Callithrix jacchus: one gene and its partners. The protein of the gene in region 2 interacts with the protein of the main gene of each other region in a pairwise test. Links are inferred from orthologs where the notes say so. Each region holds a gene or a part of one and is shown on either strand. Other genes may lie near its edges. The genes, in order: AGTRAP, PTPN9, RTN3 and MAL2.

Evidence for each region.
Region 1: the proteins of PTPN9 (region 2) and AGTRAP interact in binary tests that used the Homo sapiens proteins (3 or more experiments, as listed by UniProt). The two-hybrid records come from large-scale screens. The link is inferred for Callithrix jacchus from reciprocal best matches to the Homo sapiens genes PTPN9 and AGTRAP.
Region 3: the proteins of PTPN9 (region 2) and RTN3 interact in binary tests that used the Homo sapiens proteins (3 or more experiments, as listed by UniProt). The two-hybrid records come from large-scale screens. The link is inferred for Callithrix jacchus from reciprocal best matches to the Homo sapiens genes PTPN9 and RTN3.
Region 4: the proteins of PTPN9 (region 2) and MAL2 interact in binary tests that used the Homo sapiens proteins (3 or more experiments, as listed by UniProt). The two-hybrid records come from large-scale screens. The link is inferred for Callithrix jacchus from reciprocal best matches to the Homo sapiens genes PTPN9 and MAL2.

The regions. Positions count from the first base shown.
Region 1 is NC_133508.1:49,631,478-49,637,297, reverse strand, and holds part of AGTRAP (type-1 angiotensin II receptor-associated protein), read right to left. Parts: intron 3,684-5,820; coding exon 3,578-3,683; intron 2,431-3,577; coding exon 2,235-2,430; intron 833-2,234; coding exon 717-832; 3' UTR 1-716. UniProt on the Homo sapiens protein: Appears to be a negative regulator of type-1 angiotensin II receptor-mediated signaling by regulating receptor internalization as well as mechanism of receptor desensitization such as phosphorylation.
Region 2 is NC_133509.1:22,389,530-22,394,825, forward strand, and holds the end of PTPN9 (tyrosine-protein phosphatase non-receptor type 9), read left to right. Parts: coding exon 1-15; intron 16-712; coding exon 713-920; intron 921-1,708; coding exon 1,709-1,923; 3' UTR 1,924-3,576; downstream 3,577-5,296. UniProt on the Homo sapiens protein: Protein-tyrosine phosphatase that could participate in the transfer of hydrophobic ligands or in functions of the Golgi apparatus.
Region 3 is NC_133511.1:120,766,570-120,772,389, reverse strand, and holds part of RTN3 (reticulon-3), read right to left. Parts: intron 2,795-5,820; coding exon 449-2,794; intron 1-448. UniProt on the Homo sapiens protein: May be involved in membrane trafficking in the early secretory pathway. Inhibits BACE1 activity and amyloid precursor protein processing. May induce caspase-8 cascade and apoptosis.
Region 4 is NC_133517.1:78,167,337-78,172,886, reverse strand, and holds part of MAL2 (protein MAL2), read left to right. Parts: intron 1-2,075; coding exon 2,076-2,231; intron 2,232-4,190; coding exon 4,191-4,218; intron 4,219-4,812; coding exon 4,813-4,946; 3' UTR 4,947-5,550. UniProt on the Homo sapiens protein: Member of the machinery of polarized transport. Required for the indirect transcytotic route at the step of the egress of the transcytosing cargo from perinuclear endosomes in order for it to travel to the apical surface via a raft-dependent pathway.

The DNA of each region.
Region 1 (5,820 bases), on a different chromosome or scaffold from region 2:
CCAGAGTCAGGCAGAAGCCCAGCTCAGCCAACAAACATGCCCATTTCCTCCTGCCACAACAGAATGGGGTGGCCCAGCGCAGGCTCCACCTGGGAATTGGCAGGAGAAATCTTCCCAGGAACAAGGCCAGGCCCCACCCCAGCCAGGAGACTGAAAGTGGCTCAAAACACAGCCCATCTACAGAACTCCCCAAACTTTAATGCTGTGGCTCCAAAAAGGGAGGCTGGAGGCTGTGGTGGGTCAGTGTTGCTGATGCCTCTGGCCTCCAGCCCTGTATCGCTAGGCACCACATGACCAGGCAGTGAGAAGCACAGGACCTCACTCCCATGCCAGACTGCTCCTGGGCTGAGCAGACCTGAAGCTCTAGGGCTTCCCCCAAAGCCCAACAAACAGACATCACCAGGACTTAAAGGCCTGAGCCTGCCACAGTCATGCAGGACTCAGCTGGGGGCCTGTGTGGTGCCTTGATGGAGTAGGAGGTGAAGAAAGATTTTCATTCCAACCCGGGAACCAGCGGGTGCCCTGAAGGGAGGGAGGCCTCAGGGAGTTTGAGACAGGAGTGTGTGTACTGGGTGGCCCATGGGGGCTCCTGGTCTCTCAAGGCACTTGGTTCAGGTAACCCGTGGGCTGGAGACACATTCCATCTTAGGTCCCAGAGATAGAGGTCAGGAGCATCCCTAGAACCTGGGGTGGGGCTGGAGGCAGCGTGGCTGGCTTCAGTACCCTCGGGCATCTTGACCCCTGCCCTCTGGGACTGCAAAGGGATCTGCGGGTGCCTCTGGTGAATCAATCGTCTGGTAGGCACTACGGTCCTGAGAAGATCCAAGGAAACCTGGGTGGCAGGGGACATGATGGGAAAGAAAAGTGAATGGGGAGACCTCAAGACATTCTGCTGAGTCCAAGGCAAGATCTACCCCTGCCACCCTGGGGCCAGGCATCCTGACACCACCACAGAGACAGAGGCAGCAGCCCCAGGCACTAAGCTTTTAGCGTGTATCATTCATTCAATCCTCCCGTACTCCTTGCAGCAGGTATCATCCCCACTTTACAGATGAGGAAACAGTGGGTCAAAGAGATGAACTGACTTGCTGAGATCACACAGCTCGAAGCGATGATGCTGCGACCCACGCCTAGGCAGCCAAGCCCAAAGCCAGGCTCCAGGCCACTGTGCCATGGGGTGGTTCCTCAGGCAGCAAGTGCTCAGGAACCTGGGCAGAGGGACACCAGCCCCGGGCCCACACACTCCTCTCCAGCTCCCCTCTCAGGCAGAAGGACACCACATTACTGTATCCAGATGGCCTTGGAGGCTGGGGCTGAGTCCAAGGCAGGACTGTAGCTCCAAACACCCCACACTCCTCACTCTCATCCCCTCCTCTGCACATTCATCCTGAGACCTTGAGCACGTCCCAAGGGCTGTGGGCCTCAGTTTCCTCATCTGTCCAATGGGAGATACATTCTGGCACCCCTTCCCTGGGGGCAGCCCCAGGCCATTCTTACCCTCGACCAGCTGGTGGCAGTCACAGGCCACCTGAGGCCTCTCTTCTCAGGAGTGAAAGGTAGAAGGCCACACCCCACAACCTCCCTCCACTCCTCTCAAAGAGAAAGGAGAGACAGAGGTGTCAGAGAGCAGGCAAACAGCTCGGCCACCAGCAGAAGGGGTACAGGAAAGGGCATGGGAGAGGGCGGGGTGAGGGTGAGGATGGGCGAGTGGGGAGGGATTGGTGGGTACGGGGAGTGCCCACAGTTCAGGGCCGTCTTCGCTGAGGCTCACACAGCCTACGCTAGAGCAGGCTCTCCTTTGGCTACCTAGCACAATCTCTGCCGCAGGAGAGGAAAGACCCCACGTGGCAGGAAATGGGGTTCCAGTGTTGGGGCCCGGTGAGAACAGAGAGGAGACCTGTAGGTGCCGGTGGCCCTCATGCTGGAGATAGCCCAGGGCTGCCCCTGGGAACTAAATGGTACCCCCAGCTGTGCCTGTGCTCTAGGCTGAGAGAAGGGCCTAGCCTTAGCCTCACAGCAGGAGAAGGTCGCAGCGGACCAGGACAGTCAGGGGACCCCTGGGCTCCTGCAGCAGAGACCAGGAGCTTGGACTCCTCCAGCCTGGTACAGAGTGCCCATGCCATGCTCTTCCTGCTGGCCCCATGGGGTAAGGCCAGCTCACTGGGGGAGAGCCTGGGGGCCAGGCAAGGGAGAGAAGGGAGTGGTGGGGAGCTGGCCAGAGGTGGTGGCCTCACCAGTGTGGACCAGGAGCTCACCCCCGCGCTCCCGGTACATGTGGTAGATGAAGCAGCAGGAGAGCGGCTTGAGCAGCAAGCTGAGGATGGCCATGCCCGCGCCGAAGCGGCCCGTGTCCGTGAGGTTTCCCCGCGGATAGAAGATGCTGATGTGTACGATGTCCAGGAAGATGGTGGCCAGCAAGCCACACAGAAACTGCAAGACACAGGCACTGATGAGCACAAGAGCCCTGCCGTGTCCCGTGGCTCCCCACCATGTACCAGATGCGAAGCTGTTTCATGCCCTACTGTGTCCTTGGGGCTTGCTGGAAAACTGAGCAAGCAAGCAGGCAGGACTCACAGGGGAGCGGCTGGCTGAGACTGCAGTCTAGGGGCAGGGACGCAGGGGGCTCAGGTCTCGGTTCCACAGAGCCTCCCTCCCTACCCATTTTCGATCACCTCTAAGACCATGATGGGCACAAGACTGGGCTCTAGAACCTCCATAAAGGAAGGTTCCTTGTTCACCCAGTCTGTCTCCAACACGAAGAAAATCCCTTCTCAGGGCCAGGCACGGTGGCTCATGCCTGTAATCCCAGCACTTTGGGAGGCTAAGGCAGGTAGATCATGAGGTCAGGAGTTCGAGACCAGCCTGGCCAATAAGGTGAAACCCTATCTCTACTAAAAATCCAAAAAATTAGCCGCACATGATGGCACATGCCTGTAGTCCCAGCTGCTTGGGAGGCTGAGGCAGGAGAATCACTGAACCTGGAAGGCAAAGGTTGTAGTGAGCTGAGATCGCACCACTGCAATCTAGCCTGGGCGACAGAGCAAGACTGTCTCAGAACAAAAAAAAAAAGAAAAAGGAAATCCCTTCTCACTCCTCAGTCACCCCGAGCCCTGGCCAAGGCTTGAAGAGCCGGTGCAGGGGGTGCACGCTGCCCCACGGGGCTTGGTGGGTGCTAAGAAGCTTCCCCTGTGGGAAGTTTCGGTCGGCCTGGGTCACCTCTCCTTCCTAAAGTAGTGGCGTGCCCCCTTGGCTGGGTCTCCATGTCCTCTCCCCTAAAAGAGAGCCCCAGAGGCAGGTTATAGGGAATGCTCCATTGCTCTTGCAGAGAAGCCAATCTGGGGCACCCCTTGGCTTTCCTGGGGGAGATAATGGCAGACCTGGGCTTCTCTAAGCCAGGCAAGAAGAGTAGCATGCTCGCTCCCAAAGACAGGCATGGGCTGACACCCGGGAGGCTGAAGAAAAAGGCTTTAGACAACAGGCAGTGGTGGCCCCAGGAAGAGAAGGAAGATTGGGATGGGACAGGGAGGCAGAGCCAGGCCGTGTGTCGCCCTGTGCTTCGGCCCCCGCCCTGGCTCACCATGCTTATGGCGTCGATGGAGTCCCGCTGAGCCACAGCCCACACGCCCAAGGCCAGGATGGTGAAGTTGGCCCAGGCATAGGAGCCCGAGAACACGATGCAGCCCCTGTCAAAGAAGCAGCTTAGTCCCATCAGGTGGCCACCAACCCGCAGGTCACCTCCCTCCTGTGCCAGGGGTCTCAGGGCCTCCTCCCAGAACAGACCTTAGTCTTTGAGGCCACCTGGCTATGTGCCAGCAAATCCCATGGGCTCGCCTCCCACCCAGACCCTGGATCTGGCTGTGTCCCTGCAGGTCCCAAGCACCTCCGTCTCCTGCCAGATGACAGCCTCCTGACTGCCACTCTGTTCTCTAAATAGCAACTGGTAGTGTAGTCAGATGCTGTCAATCCTCTGCTAAAAATCCTCCAACAGTTTTCCATCCCATTTGGAATAAAATGCAGACTCTTCACCAGGGCTTAAGGGGCCCGTGGGACCCCGGGCCCAGCCCCGCCCTCCCTGACCTCCCAGCCACAGCCCCGTACAGTGGGCGCCCTCTACTCTGACACTTGGCCCCCCTTTTGTCATTGAGCAGCAGCTTGAATGTTCACTCTGAGACTCCTTCCCTCACCCACCAATGCTAAGTACGACCTCGTCACTTTCCTAACACAAGGCCCACCCTATTCTACCATTTAGGGTATTGCCTAACTGACATTGTTGATTTGTTCACTTGTCAATCCAATCAAAATCATAGTGAACACAGAGCACTTGCTAGTACCTGGCATGGTTCTAACTATTATTTATTTATTTTTGACGGAGTTTCGCTCTGTCAGCCAGGCTGGAGTGCAGTGGCAAAATCTTGGCTCACTACAACGTTGCTCTGCCTCCTGGGTTCAAGCGATTCTTCTGCCTCAGCCTCCTGAGTAGCGAGGATTAGAGGCGTACACCTCCACGCCAGCTAATTGTTGTATTTTTAATAGGAGACGGGGTTTCACCATCTTGGCCAGGATGGTCTCGAACTTCTGACCTCGTGATCCACCCGCCTTCGGCCTCCCAAAGTGCTGGGATTACAGGCGTAAGCCACTGTGCCCGGCTGGTTCTTACTGCTTTAAATTAACTCATTTATGTGCATTTATGTTAACAACCCTAGGCAGGAAGTATTGTTATCCTATTATAGATGAGGAAACTGAGGCACAGAGTGGTTAAGTAACTTGCCCAAGCTCACACAGCTGCTGAGCGGTGAGGCTGGAATTTGGAGTCTGGCTGGAGAGGCCATGCTCTTGTCACCCTGCTGTGCTGCAAAGAAGACCCAGAAGGACCAGGACTGAGTCTACCTCGTTTATTACCAAACCCACTGGGACTTGCCTGCCCCTGCATGCAGCGACCACTTCCTAGATTTATATGACATTCACTGAAGGGCAGCATGAAGAAGACATGTGCAAGGCAGGTTTTTAGTGTCAATGGATTCAATAGGTCTTCGAATAAACCATCTTATCTTTTGCTTTTAAGAAAGCAGGTTCACATGCTAGACTGTAGGAAAAGATTTAAAAAAAACAGAAAAAAAGCAAGCAAGCAGGTGCTGTCAGGCATGGTAGCTCATGCCTGTAATTCCACCACTGTGGGAGGCCGAGGTGGGTGGATCATTTGAGGTCAGGTGTTCCAGACCAGCCTGGCCAACATGGTGAAACCCTGTCTGTACTAAAAATACACAAATTAGTTAAGCATGGTGGCACATGCCTGTAGTCCCAGCTACTCAGTAGGCTCAGGCAGGAGAATCACTTGAACCCAGGAGGCAGAGGCTGCAGTGAGCCGAGATTGTGCCACTACACTCCAGCCTGGGCAACAGAGCCAGACTCCGTCTCAAAAAAAAGAAAAAAAAAAGATAAATAAATAAAAAGAAAGCAGGTGCTTGGGTTTCAACCCAAAATCGCCAACTCAGAATCTTGGGGAGCGTGACTAAGAAATCTGTATTTTTGCCCTGCTTCTCAAGGTCGTGAACCACGATGGTTACTGTTCACGTTACTAACAGCTGTCAGGCTGGGCACTTCCAGGTTTGCAGGGTGCAGACGTGAGCTCAGTGGCTTCCAGTCTTGGTTTGGCAGAGAACTCTCTCCAGAAGCTCAACAGATAAAAGAGATGGTAGGCCTGGGTGCGGTGGCTCAGGCCTGTAATCCCAGCACTTTGGGAGGCCGAGGCGGATGGATCACGAGGTCAAGAGATCAAGACTATCCTGGCCAATGTGGTGAAACTCGGTCTCTACTAAAATA
Region 2 (5,296 bases):
ATTCACAACACAGAGGTAAATCCAGGTTTCTTTTTTCTCACCTTGTTGAAACAGGGGGAGAATAATTACTGTAAAGAAAATCTCCAGAGGGAATAAATAGGATACCAGGGAGGTTATGAGTTGCTTCTGTTTTTCTGGGGTCAGGATGAGGATATTTAACTCACAGCCAATATAGCTATATTACTACAGCACAATAGGAGCATCAAATAGGTATAAAACTTAGAATTTAAGAAATCTGGGGCTGGGTGCAATGGCTTATGCTTGTAATCCCAGCACTCTGGGAGGCCAAGGCAGAGGGATCACTTGAGCCCAGGAGTTCAAGACAACCTAGGCAACACAGTGAGATCCCGTCTCTACAAAACATAGAACAAATTAGCTGGGCATGGTGGCACATGCCTGTGAGGTCAAGGCAGCAGTAGGTTTGATTGTGCCACTGCACTCCAGCCTGTGTGACAGAGTGAGATCCTGTCTCCAAAAAAAAAAAAAAAAAAAACAACTGGGGTCGTACAGTATAGGAATTCTGCCTTTTCCAAACAATTAACTGATCCTTCCTTTGGGTCTGTAGTAAAAGAAGCAATTATGAGAAAAGTTGATAGTGGTGGATAGCAGTCTTGGTGGTAGGGATAACCAGGGTGTTAAGAATCTGGAAAAGCTAGAGGTAGCTAGGGGAAGGCAGAAATGACCTTGTTCACTTTTGCTTTTCTCATTTAAGGAGCGGCAGAAACGGCAGGTGACCCACTTCCAGTTCTTGAGCTGGCCAGACTACGGTGTCCCTTCCTCAGCAGCTTCCCTCATTGACTTCTTGAGAGTGGTCAGAAACCAGCAGAGTCTGGCTGTGAGCAACATGGGAGCACGCTCCAAAGGGCAGTGCCCTGAGCCACCCATTGTGGTCCATTGCAGTGCAGGCATTGGCAGGACAGGTAATGTACCTAATGCAGCTCTTGGTGTCTGCAGAGGCAGTCGGGGTGGAGGAGGAATAACAAAGCTCTTAGCCCACATCTGTGATTGGAGAGGGAAGTCTTTTGCTCCCTTGATGGTGAATTGCTGTGAAAAAATCCCTCTTTTAATGTCCTTTTGGTGGACTAAGAGATGGCCAGAATATATATTTCATAAGCCAAGTCCTCTAGGGGTTGATGTTTTATTCACCCCCATCATAACGCTGACCCTGTTACCTTGTTAGCACTGTCACTGCAGAGAGCTCAGCTGGGCTGCTTCCTTCCCATCTAGCCCTCCCTGGAGGAACTCCCCACCCTGTGCTGTGTTCTCCATTCTGGAGCAAGTTAGCAGCTTTTGCCTTAAGGGGATGTACATGGCAGGAAGTGTGGGCCTTTCTAGCTTAAAGGTCCCTTTGGGAGAAAGTTGGGAATAGGTTTGCGTTAGGCCTCTGAGAAACTTATGGACTCTGGAAATTAGGTGTGGGAGTGCTGTCAGTCTGTCTGTCTGGGATTGAAGCAGGAAGTTACCCTGTATCACCCTCCCGTTTCCACTTCTGTTGCCCCAATGTGTGTCCTGAGAGGTAAGAGGCCTTCTGGCCTCCAACACGCCCCATGACCTTCTCCTTGAGTCCTTTCAGGCCTAAGGCCATCTGACCTTCTGCCATGAGGCAGTTTGCCTTTGAATTCATTCATTCAATTCTGCCTGGGTTATTTGATAGAGGGAAGAAGAGATGAGAGGTAAACCAGATGTGATCACTTCCTTCCTTCTTCAGGTACCTTCTGCTCACTGGACATCTGCCTGGCACAGCTGGAGGAGCTTGGCACCCTTAATGTGTTCCAGACGGTGTCACGCATGAGGACCCAGAGGGCCTTCAGCATCCAGACCCCTGAGCAGTACTATTTTTGCTACAAGGCCATCCTGGAGTTCGCAGAGAAGGAGGGCATGGTATCCTCTGGCCAAAACCTTCTGGCCATGGAGGGTCAGTAACTCTTCCACGAACCTCCTACCTGCTGGCCAGCCTTCCTTAAACTACCCTGGACACCGCTGAGCCTATAGGTTGCCATCAGTTACGCTGAAGCCATGGATCAACTTCTTTCTCGTGTCTCCCGGCACATGTGCACGCAAGGCAGCCTTTCCCTTTGGCTAGATAAATGTGGTGAAGTTGCCACTAGAAAGGGCCAGCAGCAATGTGTTCTTAATTCCTAGCACCTGCTATCAAACTGTGCCTTATTAAAACCAAATTGTGGCTATTGATTTTTTCCAGGGTCCCCGAGGTAAGTGGGGAAGGAACATCCCTCCCCCTTTCTCCCACCATTCTCTTTCTGGAGGTCTCCTGTCTCCCACTCCTTCCGTTTGCTAGGATTTTATGGGGAGGTTTGATGAGCATTTGCCTTTCTCCCCAGAGAGCTTGACCAAGTTACATATTCTAGAGATCGTCCTGAGTGCCAAGCACGTTTATAAGTAGGGCGTGTATTCCAGTCCTTTCTGTCATTCTGTGTGTGTGTGTGTGTGTGTGTGTGTGTGTGTATGCACTTAAGTGTATGGGTCCATATGTATGTGTGTATATAATATATATTGTATGTGATAATATCGTATTCTATAAATATATATACACACAGATACTCCTTTGTAGAAGTTCCTGGGGCTTTGTGTTGCAGTTCAGGACTCCTTGCTTCTTGGACCCTACTATTTATCCTGGACTACTTGAGTTGGTGGTCATGTCTCCTGTTGTCAGGCTACAGAGTGGTGGAAGAGGACACACACACATCTCCTCTGTGTTCCTGCCACAGGGCCTCATCCTTAAGTAATTACTTAATCCCCCTCCAGTTGCTACCTGTTGGAGCCAAGAATATTAGTTTGTGGTGACACTGGGTTAACTCTGCATGCATTTTCCTTATCTGATGATTTTTCTCTGCTTATTTGGCCAATTTGGGGAACAGACCTCTACTGTGATTCCATACTCTCTCTTTGCTTTCACTATCCCAGGGATGGGAGGCGGAGGGTAGAGATGAACTCAGAGCAGCCGGAGCCAAAAGCAATCGGTACGAAGTCTTAGAAGGAAGGAGGGGAGCCCAAGTGTGCGAGAGAAAAATCTACTAAGAAAATACCTCCCTGGAAGGATTAGCTGGGGCCCTTTTTTTTTTTTTTTTTTGGCTGGATGGTTCCTTTATGCAGCTTGGCCCTGTCTACTGAGATGCCCGCTAGTCTGCTAGACCCTCAAACTGGGTGGGTTTTGTGTCAATAAAAAGCTTTACCCCCTGGCTGGGTGAGGAGGTCCCCTGCAATCACTGTTTGTCCCCTACCTACCCAACCTGATCCCTGCCTGCTCCCAGCCCACTCATCCTTATGTGCTAGGGATGATTAAGAGTCCCCAGTACTCTACATTCCCAAGAAAATCACAGGAATTCCTAAACCTTCCCCTGTCACAGAAGATGAGGTTGGCAACTGATCAGACCTCAATAATTTTATATTGTAATAAGCTCTTTGAATGTGTATATTCTTATTTTTTACAATCATTTCATTTTGTATTTAATATCAATGGACTGAGTCAGATTCAGAAAATAATTGTAATGTTCATATTCAATATCTTACAGTGATACAGTTTTGTATTTACATATAAATATACCGACATGATCGAAACCCTTTTAGCTTCATCAATTTAGCAGCCTGGGACTGGGAACTTGAGGGAGGGGGTCCAAGAACTGGTCTGGGAGGGATGAGGGAGGCAGGGAGGGACCCAAGTCTTCAGTATCTGAGACTCTGAGTTCTGACTCTTTGAGTTCACCTTGTCTGTAGTCCACAGCCCTATCTCTGGACAGAGGGACCAGCACCAGTTCAGTGCTTGAGATAGACTAAGCACTGTGCTAGGTGCTTTTGCCCCAGTGCCTCATTCACACCTCACAACAGTTCAGTGAGATATTATCCTCTCTCCCTTCTCCTGTGCATCCCTTTCTCATTTCTATATAGATGAGGAAGGTGAGGTCCAGAGGGTTACAGTGATTTGCTCTAAAATGAACTCAAGGTAGTCTGCTTACAAAGCCTGTGGTCTCTTCACTGCGTTGTCTTTGGAGAACAGAGATTTGTTTAGCTCTCCTTTCAGAGTATAAATAGTTCTTAAATTCCAGGTAGTTGTTGTTGAGCTCATGCTTCATGTAGTAAACTGGAAGGGTGACAGGGTTGGTAACTGACTGTCCTAACTGGGACCTCCTGATGTAGGGTCCTCATGTCTGCAGAGTACCAAAGTGGTCATCATTCTCTCCAGGAAACTCCATATATCTGGGTACACTGTCTTTGTGAGAAGATCTTGAGTCATTTGCATTTCTCTCTGCAAAAGAATGGAACTGGAAGCTTTGTCCATGGAAGACCACTCCCCATATCATCCCTGTTGGCTGGGGAAGGGGCAGTTGTGGCTGGGAAATACTGGGGTGTTCTGAATAATAGTCACAGCAGACAGTTTACTGGATGCTCACTCTATTCTAGGCACTGTTCAGAGTAATTTCTAGGTATCGTCTCATTCACCTTCAACAACCTTTTGAGGTAGGTATTCATAGAAAAAAACTGAGACACAGGAATATTAATTTGCTACAGCCAGGATCCATCTGACTCCAAAGTACCTTCTTTGAACTCTTACACTAGACTTCCTCTAATGATCCATCTTCTGATCTGCCAATAAATTTTTCTTGAGTTTCTTACCATAATTGGGAGCTCAAGGGTAGAACAGAAGATTAATCTAGTTCTTTTTCCAGATAAGCCTCCATTCTCTTGGGAGTACACAAACATAAGAAGTGAACAGATTCTTGGAAATTTGAGAGACCAGAGAGGTTAGGGGTTTGATGGAATATGTAAGAAGTGGGGTTTATGATAAAAGGCCTGGCAGAAGTAACTTTAAATTGTCATTTATTTGAAGAGGTTGTAACCCAACTGCCCTGTGAATTTAAGGTTATGCATGAGTTCCTCATTGCATATCTGAAAGATCTGTGAGGTGATCAAGTGATCTCCATAAAATGCCAATTCCTAGGTCCACCCAGTAGGTGGTTAGTGAGTGACAGGATGATCCAGGTTTGGGAACCACAAATTTAGTTCATGTTTCTGACTCTGTAGAGGTAGCAAATTGATGTCTCCCGAATTTTCAGTAAAACTCAGAAACGGTTCAATACGTCTCCTTCCACTGCTGTTGTTTGTAGCTTTTACCACTGCAATCCTACCTGTGTTAGGGGTTACAGGAGGAGGTAAAGGAAAAGGAAGGCAAATAGGGAACCCAGAATATGTCAAGTCAGAATATGACAAGTCAGGGTTCTCATACAGGAGACATAGTGACAAAGCAAGAAACAATGTTTAGGAAAGAAGAAAGCACTGAAGG
Region 3 (5,820 bases), on a different chromosome or scaffold from region 2:
TTATCTTTGATTGCTAAGATTTCACAATGTCCATATCAATAAACCCAAGTGCTAAGAAGTGTGACTGTTATAAAGATTTAGAAATAAGCTTTGTAAATAAGTAAGAACCTGATGATATTAGGTTCTCACCTAATATCACCCTAGGGCCAACCTATAAGAAAAGACATACCTTGAAATATAACTGGAGCATAGAAAAAAATTTTAGGGGAAGATTAATTTTACAAAGTGGTCTACTGCTTTGGGAAATACTGGTATTAAGGAAACCAAATCAAACAATCATTATTAAAAAAAAAGAGAGAGAGAAGAAGAATCTGCCTTTCCCATCATACAGTATATTATATTCTAGCCATAATCTGTAGGTATAAATCGGCCTCTAACATAAATGGCATGCTGATAAATAATCAATCACAGAATTAACCACATGCAGTATTCTGATGTGAATAGTTACCTGAGAAGTCTGTCAGAAGTCTTGCTAGGACATGCTTTTTTACTAATTCAGTCTTGCTAAGGCTGGAAACAGCATCTACCCTAGTGGTTTCTCTGATAGCAGTGGGCTTTTGGGAAATCCCAAGATCAGATCCATTCTTGACATTATGTTCTAGGATGTCACATGATCTCTGTGGCCAAGATTCTGGAGCGAATGTGAAAGTTTGTTTCAGCACTTCTTCAGAAGGCAATTCTGTGTCATGCTGTACAGAAGCTGACTTCTCAACCTGTCTTTCACCTAATTCTTTAAGAGCCTTGATTGTGAGCTGTTCTTGTTCTAAGTCAAGGGATGCTACTGGAGTACCTTGGGTGGGGAAAACACCTAGAGGTTCACTTCCATTTGTTTCTTTGCTTTGTTCACTGTATTTGCTTCCAATGTCTTTAATTTCAGAACCACCAGGCTCATTTTCACGTAAGACTTTTTCTACAGGAAGAGCTGTTTTAAAGTCTGTGGTCTTCTCTGATCCTGCCTTAAAGGCATTTCCTTCACTAGCTACTATTCCTTTCTCTCTGGTTTCTGTAAAGGCTGCTACTAGGTCCTCTGGGGAGGAATCATCTATATGTTTAACATTTTTCCCATCTAATGACTCTAAATAGGCAGATGTTGTCATATTTAATGAGAATTCTGTCTCATTAGAAACATCTGGAGACACTGAAGGAAGTTTGGGGTTCTGAGTAGTAATAGGCTTTTCAGGCACAACTTCACTCACTTTATCTGACTGCTTCACATCTACAGAGATATTCATATTGGGTACTTTTGAACATGCTGCCTCACCAGCTGGACTCCTTTCAAGAGTATCAGGCCAATCTTGATGTAGTTCAGAAGCACTGACCAACTCCTCAAAGTTTTTAGATGTTTCTTCTTCTCTCTTACAACTGGGAGTCTCTTTGATTTCTCTTTCACCTGTTTTTACAATAGCACTTCGAATGGAAACAGGTTTTTCAGCCTGAATTTTGTTATTTTCAAATGATGAATCTGCTGTGATGTCCTCTATTACAGTGTCATCAGACTCACCGGAACTATCGGCCTCTGTGATTTCTCCCAATGCAGAGCTCTGCCAGTTCATTTCATCTTTCAGGTGGTCATCAGATAAAACCATTTTCACTGTGGCCACTCCAGAACCCAAAGAGTCACATTTCTCAGGTGTAGTCCCGGGTAATTCTGCAAGTATGTCATCCTGTTTCTGCGTATTGCCTTGTACACCTCTGATACTGAATTCTTTTGCGGAACTGAGAGGATCTGCTATAGGTTTTCCAGTGATAGCATTTTCTTGTGGGAGAGATGCTTCTGCCCAATCACCTGTTGATTTAGTGACGGGAGTGCTCCCATTAACAGAACATACAGGAATTTTCTGATGAGTGTTAGTTTTAAGATTTACAACTGGAATTTCTGAATTATATTCACTCATGACAAGTCCTGTAGTTTTTGTGATGCAGTCACAGGATTTATCGGTCTGTTGTTTCACTTGGGGAACCAAATCCCAAGTCAGTATTTCATTAGTGAAGTTATGCATATCATTCACACATCTAGACACCTCTTCCAGTGCTGCATTTGTCTGTGAAAACTGTCTACTGAGCAATGCAGACATTGGGTAACGTCCTGCCTCTTTATTTCTCAGTGGAAAAAGCTTGTCATTAGTCTCTGAAATGTCTTCGGATGATTCTCTATCAGTGTGCATAGAGCAGCTACCAAAATCATCTGTGCTCTCCTTATATGAGTCTTTAAATTCTTTATCAAATGCTGCTTTGTCAATAATTACTTCAAATGGTGATTCAGGGGAATCCTTTTCAATAACACCATCTCCTGAAACTTTGGATGGGGACAAAGAATATGTATAAATGCCTTCTACCTTAGAGTACTCAGTAGGTGGTTTCTGGGCTGTTAGCAAAGTGAATCTGTCATCAGCATCCAATGCAGTTTTAGCTTCCCTACTTGATACCTCATTTGGGTTCTTGGTCTCTTTATCTATTTGCTCTTCCACTAGACCAATTTTCTTTGAGAGAAAAGCAGGATGCTCTGGGAAACTGGCTGGAATAGAAGGACGGTCATAATGAACTCCTGCTGCAAGAGAAACTGAAGAGTCTGATACGTTGTTGCTGGTCCCCTGGGGCTTTTCCATTTTTTTCGTATCTTTTAGATCCAAGTGGTCTTTTCCTTCATTGGCTAAAATAGGCTGGCTCCCTAACACTTTGCTTTTTTCTCCATGTAGTATTGTAAGGCCAGTATTATGTATTTCAGAAGATAAAAGAAAGGAAGAAGTCATAATTTCTGAAGATGGCTCACTGGAGCAAAGAGAGCTCAATACCTCTATGATCAGAATTTCAAAGAAAAAAATTGTTTACCAGGTACAATTACACATTAGCTAGCCAAGCCAAGCAGCATGCTTTTTAATTTTAAAATTACATAAATATGTATATACACACACAGGATGTATATATACACACATAAATACGTAACAAAACAATCAAGTCATCCTACAGGACATGCATAAAACTGCCAACAGCAAAACAGAAAAGCCATTTCATGCTGGGAACTGCAAATGACAAAAAATTTTCATGACAAATACTTTTTGGTCTACTTTTCCACTGTAAAGAGAAAGCATAACGAAGGGCGATAAAATTGAGAAATCTAGGGAGGTTTTTATTATTCTGGTAGAGCTAATCAACCAAAGCAAAATAATCCATACAAAACAAGTAACTTGACACTATGATGCACTGATAGACTTCAATCTGTAAACTGAACAATTCAGAGCACACACTGCTTCTATAAATCCAATGTTACAGTCTCACAATCTGAGAAGGAAAAAAATAAGTGGCCAGATTTCTTTTTGATTTTTAGGAGATACAACAGATGCTTCCTGAGCCTGAAATGAGACAAGAATTATTGAATTCTATCCACAGGAAGAATTTGTCCCATGTATAAATAAATAGCCGTGATGTTCTAAACTAAAGGGTACTGAAAAAGGTTGACCTACTTCAAAATCTCTCTCTCTTTTTTTTACATGGAGTCTTGTTCTTGTCGGCCAGGCTGGAGTGCAATGGCGCAATATAGGCTCACTGCAACCTCCACCTCCCAGGTTCAAGGGATTCTCCTGCCTCAGTCTCCTGAGTAGCTGGGATTACAAGCGCCTGCCACCATGCCTGGCTACTTTTTTGTATTTTTAGTAGACATGGGGTTTCAGCATTTTGGTCAGGCTGGTCTTGAACTCCCAATCTTAAGTGATCCACCCCACTCAGCCTCCCAAAGTGTTGGGTTTACAGGCATGAGCCACCACGCCCACCTAGCCCCTCCAAAATCTCTTGTACCAACTTGTCATTTAAATCAATATTGTACCATGCAAATTGACACTTCGGTTAAGACAGAGTTAACTCGGCTGGGCACAGTGGCTCACCTGAGGTCAGGAGTTCAAGACCAGCCTGACCAAAATGCTGAAACCCCGTCTCTACTAAATATACAAAAAATTAGCTGGGTGTGGTGGTGGGCGCCTGTAATCCCAGCTACTCAGGAGGCTAAGGCAGGAGAATCACTTGAACCCAGGAGGCCACGCCATTGCACTCCAGCCTGGGTAACAAGAGCAAAACCCCAACTCAAAAAACAAACGAACAAACAAAAAAAAAACCAGTTAACTCCAGAATTACTTTTAAAATAGAAAATATCCTTTTCAAAGTAATACATTAAGTCTTATCAGTAATTAATACCAAATACCACAGTAGCCATCAATCTACCACACTGTTTCCTAACTTCCCACTCTAACAAGTTATTAGGGAAAAGGATAAAAACAAACATCCCAAGGGCTGGTGCTTTCTTATTTTCTTTATTTATCTGTTTGTTTTTGAGACAGGGTCTTCCTCTGTCCCCCAGACTGGAGTGTAAATGGTGCAATCGTGAACAGCCTTGACCTCCTGGCTTCAAGCTCTCCTCCCACCTCAGCCTACCAAGTAGCAGGGACCACAGGCACTTGCCACCACACCTGGCTAATTTTTAAACTTTCTGCAAACATGGGGTCTTGCTGTGTTGCCAGGCTGGTCTCAAACTACTGGGCTCAAGCAATCTGACCAACTTGGCCTCCTAAAGTGCTGGGATTATAGGCACGAGCCACCTCGCCCAGCCCTGGATGTTGTCTTTCTTGCATACTCTTGTATCTGCAGCTGGAACAAAGTGGGTCTTAAATAGCCCCAAATAAGTGAATCAAAGATTTTGCTTGGTCAGCTGAGACCTAAGTAGGCTCAGGACAGCAATGTCTTGAGCATGAATGAGTAACTGGGAAAATGTCACAGATAAATTCTTTTGGGATTACTTTTATTCAGCTTATGTTCCCTTTTTCATGTAAACACCCAAATATCAGATAAAAGCAAAATTATGACTTTATTCCAAATTATTAAAGACAAAAATATTTTACAATAAATCAAATTCTGCTATTATAAAAATGTTTTGAAATGCCATATGAAGTTCCCCTACTTCAACACATCACTGAAATTTGATGTAATAAGAGTTGAACTTTAGAAATAGTATAACTGTAATCTGGTTAGTAAAACAAAAAGTCTTTGTACATTGAAGAAAAACGGTTAAACCTTGGTGGCAAAGCTATATTACCAGAACAAAACACTTGAAGTAAACTTTAACTCATATGTAGTTCTAATTTAGTAAACATGGTTTGCATCTACCATTCTATAGAATGAATATTCTGCATGACTAGATTAGGGCATAATAGAAATGAAGCCCAGCATTGCAGGTTAAAAAGTTCAAAAGCCTGAAGTGTAAAGTACTATAGATTACATTTAAATCAGAAATATTCCACAGTCTGAGCCATGCATTGTTACTGAACTTACTAGTCAGTATTTCTACCAGAAAATATTCAGGGAACTAAGGTTATGATAAAACTGTTTGGGAACCTCTCTCTTCAAACAACTCTGAGGTGCGTCAAACTGACTCCACATCACAGGGAAGTTCAGCTTATATGGTTTGTGTTTTCTCTTTTGGAGACACAGTCTCGTTCTGTTGCCCAGGCTGGAGTGTGGTGGTACAATCTCAGTTCACTGAAGCCTCTGTCTCCTGGGTTCAAGCTATTCCCCTGCCTCAGCCTCCTGAGTAGCTGGGATTACAGGTGTGTACTACCACACCTGTTTTTTTTTTTTTGAGACAGAGTCTTACTCTGTCTCTCAGGCTGGAGTGAAGTGGTGCAATCTCAGCTCACTGCAACCTTCACCTCCTGGGTTCAAGTGATTCTCCTGCCTCAGCCTCCCAAGTAGCTGGGATTACAGGCGCCCGCCACCACACCTGGCTTATTTCTGTATTTTTACTAGAGACAGGGTTTTGCCATGTTGTCCAGGCTA
Region 4 (5,550 bases), on a different chromosome or scaffold from region 2:
GAAATGGTGTGTAATGGTAAAGAGGTCAAGGGATCAGATCACACCAAGAGTTGCCAGTCCTGTCACTGAATCGCTTTATTACATAATCAGCTGAATCTGAGGATTCACCTCAGTAAATTAAATGAGTGTTAAGTGATCTCAAATTTCCTCCTAATTTTTCTAAGATCCAGCTTCATTTCATTTAGCCATTAAAAGTGGTGACATTTGGATTTGGAGTTGAACCTTCGTCAGCTAGTATTTGTTGAATAACCGCATGTATTTAGCATCTCTCCTATAGATTAGACATGTGGCCAGTATGTAACACTTTTCTTAAATCTTAAGGCATTTGTGAATCAGTTTACAAATGAGAGTTATTTAATAGAAAGCACACCTTTGTAGTTTTTAACCCATGGTTGGTTAAATTTGTCCTAGCAGAGTATTTTAGATATGAGAACAATTCCTGTAAACAGTATCATTTGCTGTATGGCATTTACAAAGGCAGTACAATGCTCTCCTTTGTAATATTGCTATGCCACTAATAGAAATCAATAATAGGTTTGATAGGAAAGAAAGTGGACTTCAAAGGGAACCCTTGCACACTGTTGGTAGGAACGTAAATTAGTACAGTCATTATGGAGAACGGTGTGGAAGTTCCTCAAAAAGTTAAAAATAGAACTACCATATGATCTAGCAATCCCACACCCGGGTATATATCTGAAGGAAATAAAATCAGTGAGATTTCTACATTCTCATATTCATTACAGCATTATTGATAACAGCCAAGATACAAATTCAAACCTGAGGATCTATCTGCAGATGAATGGATAAAGAAAATCCAGTATATATTTTGCAATACTAATTCAGCCTTTAAAAAGAAGGAAATCCTGTCATTTGCAATATACATGAACCTTATGTTATGTAAAGTAAGCCAGGCACAGAAAGACCACATGATCTTAAGCTGAATTTACAGAAGTAGACAGTAGAATGGTGATTCCCAAGGGATGAGCTGATGGGGGACTGTGGAAAATGTTGGTCAAAGGATACAAATTTCAGTTAGGAGAAATAAGTTCAAGAGATCTATTGTGTAGCATGATGACTATAGTTAGTAACAGTGTATTATATTCTTGAAAAATGCTAAAAGAATATATTTTAAATGTTCTCACCACAAAAAAAAGAATTATGGGAAGATATATGTATATGCTTTATTTAGCCATCCCACAATGTATAAATATTTCAAAACATGTATACAATAAATATGATTTTTGTCAAGTAAAATAATTTAAAAAAAATAAACTGAACTTTGGGACCAGACACACTACAGGTTTTTCTCCCTCCTAAAATTAATATTTACATGGCTTTAAACAGTCATTTAACTGAAAAGAAATTATTTATTTAATGGAGATAATTAATGGTGGTTATAAGGTTGAGCAATAATGCACATAAGGTATCTGATATGTGGGAACTGTTACAAACAGTAATGTGTTGATACATTAATTCAGGTAAGACCACATGAACTATAACAGTGTTAATGCTTCGCTGAATGTCAGCAACAAAGAAGCCTAACAAATGAGGTCTTATACTTCTTGTGGAAGTATATAACATGTTAGTTTTTAATGAAACAAACATGGATATATGTTATTGAATTATATATTTAATTAGTCTTCTGTATTTTCAATGGAAAATCTCTAATGATAATAACTGGTCAAAAATAGTTTATATAATTTATATGAATACATATAATAATGTTATTTAAATGCTACTTTACTTGAATTTTAAAGACAGCATATGTATGGCTTTTTTATATTATCCTAATTAACATTGATCTCTATGGGCATCTTAATCCAAATTAAAATATTATATAATTATAAAATTCAGTCTATGGAAAGGTTTGCCAATTTACCAATGTGCCAGTTAAAATGGGTTGATTTTCACTTGGATTCTAATAGTTGCTATAGAAACGTCAGGCCAAGATACACAGAGAAGGTAATTAAGATGGTTTAATTAAATGTTTTGATCTTGCTAAACCTAGCCTTCATTTGAAATACAGAATGGAAAATGTCTTATTAATTGCAGATGTCTTTTCTCTCCTCTTTTAGGATTTTGCCTACCATTTCACAGTGTTTGTCTTCTATTTTGGAGCCTTTTTATTGGAAGCAGCAGCCACATCCCTGCACGATTTGCATTGCAATACAACCATGACCCTGCAGCCGCTCCTGAGTGATAACCAGTATAACATAAATGTAGCAGCCACAGTAAGTACTCAATGAGTACTGTTCACCAGCACTTCCGCTCCACTGTCAAGGCCTCCAAGAAACTCTTCAGGCAACAGTACTCTTTAATACTAGCCGTTAATGTTAAATATATCATAGCTGTTATCTGTACAGTAACCCTGTGAGCAAAGTGCCATGATCACTTTGCTCACAGGGTTGCAGGTGATTAAACTGAAGCATAAAGAGGTTGATGTTCACATAAGACCACAGCAAGCCACCGTCTCTCATTAAGAATTGGCTAGGCCTGGTGTGTTGTGCCTGTAGTGCCACCTGTTTGGGAGGCTAAGGTGAGAAAATCTCCTGAGCCCAAGGAGGCGGAGGTTGCAGTGAGCTGAGACCACACCACTGCACTCCAGTCTGAGTGACAGACCAAGACTCGGTCGAGGGATGGGGGGGAATGGGGAGTAACCAGTATGACTAAGGAACTGTATTTTTAATATTATTTTAATAATTTTAACCACATGTGACTAGTGGCTATCATATTAGACAATAAAGGTCTGGAGTCTGAGTTTTGAGGGGTCTGCAAAAAGAACTGTGTTTTTGCTTCTTATAACTTTCAGACATGGTAAGGGATATTTCCCAGTTTGGTTCTTTAGTATTCAATAGCTGTTTGCACGTTAATTTTATTCAATGAATAGATACTGTGGGCCTACCATATATCAAGTAATTTTGCTGGCTGTTGAGGATGGGGTGGATAAGCTGCAGTTGTTGCCATTCAGGGAAGTGCAGGTGAGGAAGGGAGGCAACTATGCCAGCCATTGCAGTAGATGGTAGGCAGATGAAATGCATTCCTTGGGGCATTTATAAATTTTTAAATCATCTTTAATTCACATACTGGAGTGAATTTGTCATTTTGTATTGTATAGATAATAATTTGAAGAACTAATGTATTATTTTTGTTGTTAAAGATCACTTTTAAGATGCTAGAAGTCCAAATTTTCTGAAATAGTGTGATATTTAATATAAATATATGGCAAATTAGTGACCCTAATGTTTTATTATGTTTCCCAGGTAGCCTGTAAATAACCCAGTACTCCCCATATAGGCATTGAAATCTGTCTGGAGCAGCACTGTCTAGTAGAACTTTCTTTTTTTGTAAGTGCTGTCCAATATGTTGGCCACTAGGCTCATGTGGCTGTTGAGCAATTGAAAAGTAAGCCAAAGAGTCATGGCTCATGCCTGTGATCCCAGCACTTTGGTAGACCGAGGTGGAAGGGGACTGCTTGAGGCCAGGATTTCTGGAGCAGCCTGGTCAACATAGCAAGACCCTGTCTCTCAAAGTGGGGAAAAAAAAGAATCAAGAATTGGCCAGGCCTGGTGGCTTGTGCCTGCAGTGCTACCTGTTTGGGAGGCTGAGGTAAGAAAATCTCTTTAGCGCAGGAGGCGGAGGTTGTAGTGAGCCGGGAGCACACCTCTGCACACCAGCATGATGAAGGAACTGAAGTTTTAGTATTATTTTAACCACATGTGGCTAGTGGCTATCAGACAATAAATACCATTCTAGAGTCTGAATTTTGAGGTGTAGAAGACAAATGATTTCAAGACCCATTATAAGTTTCCCAAGTCTCTGATAGGATTTGTCAAAATTTATTGAGTGCCTACAATGAATTAGGCTGAAGGTGGGATTACAACAAAGAGTCATGGTTTTAGCTTTGAAATGTCCCATCCATGGGACATCAGATTGGGAGGCAAATTCCTTTTCCCTAATACATGTATCAAAAGCTATTGCTGTCATTTAGAAAACAATGTCTAGATTAGAAATTGTCAGAGAATCAATCAGCAGAAGAAGGGTGGAAAGAATAGCAGAAAAGCAATTAAACTGTGAAAATGATCTATAGGTGAATCCAGTATTGCTTCCCAGAGCTATAGTTTCCTCGTTAAGAACCCTTGTGCTAAACCATAATATTTATCATGTTGAACTGCTTTTGCTTTGTCTTTTAGTCTTCTATGGATCATAAACCCCAAAAGGGTGAGGACATTATCTACTCTTTGCTTATATGTACCAAATGTAGTAATATACACACAGTTGGTGTTGAAGAAATTCTCATTAAATTCTAAGAACACAGTAGAGTGCACATTTGTGCATAGGACTGTCTCCCATACGAGAGAAAGCCAACCTGATCATTCATTTCCACTTGTCTTTGTTGACTTTTAAAGTTACTTTCCATTGTCATGGAAATTATTTGATGCATCCTCAGGTTCCGAGGGTTGCTGGTTTTCTTGGCTGTGAAACCACTACATGTATAGAACTTCATGATGAATTTTTAAATATGGTGCCTGGGGGTTCACAGATACTTAATAAGTGAGCCCAGCATGTGAACAAACGTTCAATGTAAAGTTATCTATAAATGAGAAAATTAATAGGGCTAAAATATTTAAAGGAATTGGGGGGTAATTGTATGAGGGAATAAAACAGTTGTACAAGTCATCAAAAAAAATCAATATAAAATATTTTCTAAGTGTCTTTAGGAGATTGTTCAATCTTCATATGGCTGTTCTTTAGGACACTGTGTTTAAATCAGTGTTGTAAATCTGATGTGAATTTTTGTTTCTTTTTTCTTAGATTTTTGCCTTTATGACGACAGCTTGTTATGGTTGCAGTTTGGGTCTGGCTTTACGAAGATGGAGACCGTAACACTCCTTAGAAACTGGCAGTCGTGTGTTAGTTTCATTTGTCTACTTTATATTTCTGATTAATTTGGTTACCATTTTGTCCAGATGTAAAAACATTCCAAAAGTAGTTTGCTTAGGAGGGAGAGACTCTAAGCTCAAGTTTTGGTTTATTTCATGGATGGAATGTTAATTTTCTTATGAAGTTAAAAAAAAATGGCCTTTTATATTTCTCCCCTTCTTCCCTTCCTTTTTTCTTTTCTGAAAGTTTCCTTTTATGTCCATAAAATACAAACATATGGTTCATAAAAAATTAGTATACCTTTTGTCTGGTTGCTGAGTCACCTGAACCTTAATTTTAACTTTCTAAAAACACATTTCAATGTTCCCACTGACCTCCATATTTTAGCGTGAAACAGGAAACGGTACACTTTGAGAATGGGCCAGATGGCAAATAGTTGTGCTTCATGGGCCATACAGTCTGTCACAACTATTCATTTCTGCTGTTGTAGCATGAAAGCAGCTATTGACAATACAGAAATGAATGAGTGTGGTTATGTTCTAAAGAAACTTTATAAAAACAAGGGGAGTCTGGGTTTAACCTTGTGGGCTAATGTTTATCGACAAACTGGTGTAAAACAACCCATCATGAAAACGTATAAACCTAACTAGACAAGCCACATAATACTTA